2 linked regions of the Xenopus tropicalis genome follow. The protein of the gene in region 1 purifies or fractionates together with the protein of each later gene. This does not show direct contact. Links are inferred from orthologs where the notes say so. Each region holds a gene or a part of one and is shown on either strand. Other genes may lie near its edges.

Evidence for each region. The genes of interacting proteins can lie anywhere in the genome.
Region 2: the proteins of retreg3 (region 1) and reep4 purify together in Homo sapiens (affinity purification with mass spectrometry; 3 studies listed by BioGRID and IntAct, with this or other methods). This does not show direct contact. The link is inferred for Xenopus tropicalis from reciprocal best matches to the Homo sapiens genes RETREG3 and REEP4.

The regions. Positions count from the first base shown.
Region 1 is NC_030686.2:29,107,811-29,111,467, forward strand, and holds part of retreg3 (reticulophagy regulator 3), read left to right. Parts: intron 1-793; coding exon 794-824; intron 825-1,656; coding exon 1,657-1,783; intron 1,784-2,448; coding exon 2,449-2,533; intron 2,534-2,965; coding exon 2,966-3,103; intron 3,104-3,610; coding exon 3,611-3,657. UniProt on the Homo sapiens protein: Endoplasmic reticulum (ER)-anchored autophagy regulator which exists in an inactive state under basal conditions but is activated following cellular stress.
Region 2 is NC_030679.2:129,572,366-129,575,543, forward strand, and holds part of reep4 (receptor expression-enhancing protein 4), read right to left. Parts: intron 2,985-3,178; coding exon 2,871-2,984; intron 2,541-2,870; coding exon 2,408-2,540; intron 1,104-2,407; coding exon 934-1,103; intron 528-933; coding exon 462-527; 3' UTR 1-461. UniProt on the Homo sapiens protein: Microtubule-binding protein required to ensure proper cell division and nuclear envelope reassembly by sequestering the endoplasmic reticulum away from chromosomes during mitosis.

The DNA of each region.
Region 1 (3,657 bases):
CACTGGAACCAAGGTTTCCTGAAGTTTGCCACAGTACAATAGTTCTCCAACATCCATGGGGTGGTTATCATGGTTAAACCTTGATATAGACAAGATTTCAGACTTGTCTATACATACCAATTAACAAAGGGGTGACCATTCCTAAAGAATTTGGAAAGTGTTAAGGTGGCCATACACGTGGCGATCCGACGATGTTTCGTACGACCATCGGTCGCACGAAACATCGTAAGATCCGCCACACACCATTCAGGGCTGAATCGGCAGGTAAGGAGGTAGAAACAATAGGATTTCTACCTCCTTTTGCCGATTCAGCTCTGAAGGGAGAATTTTGGTCAGGCGCCTTCTATGGCGCCCGATCAAAATTTTCAAACTTGTCCGATCGGCGAGTCGTCCGATATCGGCAGCTTCCTGCGATATCGGTCGACTCGCCGACATGCCATACACGCACCGATTATCGTACGAAACGAGGTTTCGTACGATAATATCGGTGCGTGTATGGCCACCTTTAGTCTTCTTACAAGGTGAATTGTCTTTTAAGGGGACACGTTTAGTTAAGCCCATGGCATGTAAACATAGGTTAGATCATGAGCAATACTTAATGCAGACCCTTCTAGCAAAACCCCATTAAGGACTTTCACTGGTAAGACTTTTCTTTGTTCCATTGCACCACCTACCTACCAATTCTGCCCCTGTAAAGAGACAGTACAGAATATATAATATACCTGGTGCTTTAAAAGATACAATATTCAAATTAGTTAATTAGTTCTCACTATTTCTGTTTGTGTTTTTTCAGCAGCAAGAGCCAGTGAACTGGAGAATGAAAGGTGAGATAGTTATACCTTACTGCCTTATTGCTTTCTTGGCCATACCAGTTCTTCTAGAACTAGCCACACCTTACCTACCTTAGTTATGAGAAAGTGAGAGTTGTAGTTCTATGCCACCCCTAGCAGATGCTTCTGGGGTCTGACTGAGGTTGATGCCAGACAGCTGAAACATTTATGCTTTTTATGTTCAGCTCCGTTTTGCTTTATCTCTTTTATACTACTACATGCTATATATAATAGTAATATATACATACTATATATAATATGTCACATAGATTTGTGGAGACCTATTATGAGAGAACAGGACATCAGATTAGACTGCATAGACATTTAGAGCGAGAAGACGTGATTTCTTATTGCTTTTGGTGACACCAGGAAGAATTATTACTTATATCCCCAGACAACTAACATATAAATGTGTATATTCAATTATTTACCGTAGCCCTATAATATTAAATTTAAAATTTTCCATTTTTTGTTTGGCTGTTTGATTTGTGCCTGTGGCATTGCACATGCTCCGTGTGCTCTGGTTGTTTGACATTATCAAAAAATTAGCAGAAAAGGAGGTTCAGGGGCATCCAGACATCCACATAATTCACATGCACTGGTTTCTATACTGCCATGTAAATCTGAGCCTTGTACTGTGCATATACTGTATATTGTTCCTAAGATCATGTAACTGACTGCAAGCCAGAACATGTGATCCTTGGGCATAAAGCTGAAAACATAAGATCTAGCATCTCTAGACTATTTCTTTAACTTTTAGGTCTTTTTGTTCTACTTACTACATGTTAAAAGATTTGTTTTCATGATGAGTTTTGGTGTGTTTCAGCTGGGGCTATGTGCATCCAAGGCTGCTCAGCGTCCCAGAGCTGTGCTATCATGCAGCTGATACATGGGTCAGTGTCTACAACTTTTTAAGGAATCTTCTGCTCTTCAAAACTGAAAATCCGGGCAAGGTAATTCAAATTTTGTGTACTATTCTGAACGCCTCAAACTATTTTACCTGGTTTTATATGGACAAATGACCTGTTTCTCTAAGGCTGTTGAAATGGTGATTCCCCCCACCCCACAGGCATCTATCAAAATAATTAAAATATGGTTTCTTGCATCCAAAAGAATTATAGAGTTTTGTAGGCTTTCAAGCCAACCAAACAAGAAGGCCATTGAGGTGGTAGGAAGAATTGGGCTCAGCAATTGGATCACCATAGAGGTATTTGCATCACTGCATCCAGAATCCGATGCAGTCGGTCGTTGCCCAGTGGAATTTTTATAGATATCTGGCAGATTGTCAGTCAGATGTTGTTTAGGAAGGGTGTCATTTTGGCCCATATACACAGACCAGTAATTGTTAGTTTGCAATTTGAAGAGTCGTTATCCATTATAGGCATGTGTGACCTGCTTTTATGGAATGTTGTCCATATCATTCTAATATAGTGGCTGCTTTAGGACTTACACCCAAACACACTACTAGTGTGTGTACTGACTACTATTTGATATAAATAAATAAGGTAGACCAACCAAGAAGAGGTTTGGGCCAAAACTGATGGATGAATGCCTCTTATGTTGCATGTATTTGTCGACTGATGTAAACCTATTGCTTGTTGTGTCTTTTCATATACAGTTTTGCCTTTTGGCCTGCAGCTTTCTGACTTTCCTAGCTGTTCTTGGTGGATACATTCCTGGTGTTGTGCTGTCATATTTGCTTTGTAAGTTGAATATTTTCATTTGTATTAATGGTCATTTGTACCAAAAAGCATATTTACAGTAAGATCTGGCGAACAAGGAGTTCATCCCTACATTATACTAATTACAAACCCTTTACTTGAACATGAACCTTTCAGTAGTTTAGAAAATCCTATTAAAACAGGTAAAACCAAATAACAATATGTACTTCTGCTTTCTGCTCTCGCTTCTGGCTTGACCTACTGTTCAGTCTAGAGGTAGTCCTGACAGAGGTTCATGTTGAATGTGATAAAAATATATTTCACAAGCTTTTTGAATACTGAAATCTCTGTTTTTCAAACATCAGACATATAACAGTAGATAGGTATGCCATCAGTGCCTTACCCTGTTGGGCAAGAAAAAACATTCTTCTCATTATGCTGTTTGCTTTGTTTTTTTTTTTTGCCACCCCACAGTACTTTTTCTTCTGCTTTGGCCTCTTGCTATATATCACCAGCTGGGGCGGCGTATATACCAGAAGCTGGAGCCAGCCCTGCAGCGGCTAGACTTCAGTGTGCGTGGCTATATGATGTCCAAGTATAAGGAAAGGCAAAGTAAGTGGCTATGATAAAACCCTTCTAGCTTGGATATTGTGTGAAGTATGCTTGTTTATTTCAGTTTGCAGTAAAGATTTTGATTTATGGACCTATTAATGTAAGACATACGACCAGTTGATTAAGTTTACTTTAAATAGGAGTGTGTATTGTCCTTTTAACTGCTGCTAACTGAAGTAACCAAGATTTGGGACTGAGGCCTATCTAAAGCTGCCTGCACAGTTTAGTGGGTCATTAGCAGCAGCCCCACTAAATCTCACAGATACAGCATTATTAAGGTAGGTTTGGAAAGACCAGATGTACCAGACACTGCATAGGTGGCTATATTAACAGTTGCTCAGCACAATGCTGCTCTGGCGTACTCATAAGTGTGTGCTAGTGAATGGATGGGTTTAACTCATATATTATTGGCTACCTTATATTTTGTTTTCTAAATATATACCACTTGCACATATTTCTGCTTATTTTATTCATGTGAAAAACTGCTCTCTATATTTCTAATTTCAGAGCATAATCGTGCCCTTCCTCCAACTGATGCTAGTGACAGTGAAGAA
Region 2 (3,178 bases), on another chromosome or scaffold:
CATATCCTGGGAAATGAACGGCAGCACAAGAAACAGTAGAAGGGAAAGGGAATGATGGAGCCGCAAATACAGAGGGCTGATGAACGGAGGCAGAGTGCAGAGCTTGAGTGTGCGATTATTTCTGTCCTGCTCAGCTGTTGCACGCCGCAGCCTCACAGGCAGCTCATACTGTCAGGCACAGTTAGGTTCTAACACAGCAGCAACCAGTGCAAAGGTGCAGGAACTTGGCATCAGCAGTTTGCACAGAAGGCCCTGCATGGGTTAATACATCACACTTTAATATATACACACACACACTTACACCCGCAAACTTGTCGTTTCCACAACAGGTTGCCGTGAATCCTGCACCCCAGAAATCATGCTGAGTGAGGGACATCCTGGCATCCATAAAATTCAGTGTTTTTGCTCCATAGAACGATTACAGCGAGGCGCAGCCCTCAGTCAGTCATTGAAAGCCCGGTTTAGTTTTCGGGTTCTGATTGTGCAGGCTTCTTCTTTCCTTTGGGTTTCGTTGTTTTCGTAGAGACCTAGAAATTGGGGGGAAATATGAATATGGAGGAGCACCTTCCATCTTACTAATGTCAGTGTATTGGGAGAAGCTGCCCTGATAATGTAACTAGAGCCTGAGTATCATGAGGGCAAGGGCATGAATACTTTAGGTCTATGTATTGGTGGGGACAAGGATTTATGCCCAAAGCCGAGTAAACATTACTATTCCAGATATTAAGATCTTACCCCCATATGTAATAAAAGACAATACTTTTGCCCAGGAGCAGTAACTCATAGCAACCAAGATGTTTGCTTTTAAATAGGTGACCAGTAAATGCTACAAGCTGATTGGTTGCCATGGGTTACTGATCCTGGGCAAATTTAGTGTCTTGTATTACATAATCCCCAAAGTCTACATGACAGCATGCCTATGTCATTACTAACCTCTCGACTTAGCCCTTTCTTCTTGGAAACCCGCAGACTCTGGCTCCTCTGTAGTGGTTTAGATGGCATGCCTCCTCTTGTCCTAGCTGCTGTCCTTGTTTCGGCCATTTCAGAATCCGACCACCGTTCATCCATGGAGTCACTATCAGCATGGGAAGTGGTTGGGTATCCTGCCAAGAGGAAGGCACAAAACCAGAACAATATTACATCCCATCAGGCCGGTTCCCCTCATACTCTTCCTTCCACCTTTCACTGTTTATGAAAAGTGACTCCTTATAATAAGTATGGACCTCTTCAAATTCCCATACAAGAAGTATCCCTTTAATAAACCATCCAGCTGACCCCCCCCCCTCCCCTCCCAACATGACCTTATCTATCATAGTAAGTTTTGGTTAGGGTGTGGTTACTCTACTGCTGGGCACAAAACATTAACGAAGCCTGGCAATGTGCCACTTATGGGAGTGTAGCCACCCAGCGCTGGTCATAAGCCAACAATGGATAACAGTACTCAGCATTCCCTACAGAGCAAGAGAGCCCTTCAGGGAAAGGCATCCCCCAGGGACTATTTCAGTAAACACACGCTCATCTGGATGCAGCCATAAAGAGACTATGGGTGATACTTTTAGAGATGCCATCTGCCCATTAACTTATCTTTTATACTAAACCATGAATCACATCCAGAACAAATTTGTAAAAGCTACAGATTCATTGACTGTTGGAAATATTTAATACGTAGTTAATGGGGAACTCCAACTTCTAAACCAAAATTTGTTAGAGCCCCACACAACACAGAAACCCCTAATATACCTATCACTATAATCTGTTCCTTTAAAAAGTATGAATAAATATAATCCTTATATGCTGAAATCCAGCTGCAAAGCAGTTCTCTTTCTGCATCATTTGAAATCCTGGCAGGGGAGGGGCTAAAACAGTGATCCACAGCCTACAGACAGCATGCAGGAACTACATAACCCACAATGCATTGCACTGTGATGGTCCTTTTCTTAGTGACATCATGTGTGCAGGGGATTGTGGGATTTGGAGGGGACAGGCTGAAGGCAGGCTGCGGTCAGTCAAGTTCAAAGTAGAAAGTAGTCAGCCAGGGGTGGGGCTTAGGTAACTGTTCCAAACCACACTATTACATTAAAAATCATGAAAAGGCTGTGGTTGCTTGAAATTATGTTTAAAAAAAAAAAACTGAGTGGAGTTCCCCCAACCTCCACATGTGACTAGGGCTGCTATCTCCAGGCAGGAGGGTGGGACGTGACATCACAGGGCGGGACAATGTCATCACAGGGACACAGCAATCGGCTTATTGACACATGAAAATTTGAGAGTCCTTCCTGGTTTTCCAAATTGAAAAACCCGGCAGGCAGTTTTGACAGGGACAACCCTTCCAAAAACTGGGCTGTACGGGTCAAAACCAGACAGGTGGCAACCCTACATGGACATGGGGAAGAGTCTCGCTACTCACCAATTGGCCTCCGGTGCAGCTCTGGTGCATCAGGATACAGGGCATCTCTGTAGTGTATAGGTGTGTCATCAGGAAGAGCACGCAAATCCTGCATGCTGAAACTCCGCAGGCGCCCCACTAATGCGCCCTGACCCTGCCATAGAGAAACCATTTTAGCACAGGGTTCTACTGGTCTCCAAAAAAACTACATCTGACCGTTCATGGAATCTTGAGAGAGCTCAAGTCTTCAAGTACTCTGCCTATGGGCCTAACGGGTGCAAATCTGCACTTAAGTCTTAACCATTAATAAAGGAGTCCTTAAATGTTTATGCATGGCTTTTGTTTCATTATATTAAAAGAAACAAAACAATGAAGGAGTGAATGGAAAATGATAGGTGGGATAACAAACTGACTACTGAACGGTGTTCCAATCAATCTGGATATCCTGGGTAGGTGCCAGGGATGGGTGGCCGGTAGAAATTACCTTGGTAGCAGCTTGCACTGCCGCACTGGCTGCTATGTTTAAACCTTTTCGCCCAATGTTCACAAATGACTCGTAACTTCGTTCTTTTGCCTGTATAATGTAGGAATCGATTTCCTATGAGAGAGAAGAGACATCAGTATTATCACTGTATGGGAAGCCTCAATATAAATGCACTGAAAACTGTTTATGTATTGAGGATTGGGGTTAATGGAAACCTGCATTTCTCAGGTTTCTGGTACAGGGAATAGACTAACTGGATGACAGTCTGCATTTCCCAAGCACTTATCATACAGTACCCTGGTGTTGTT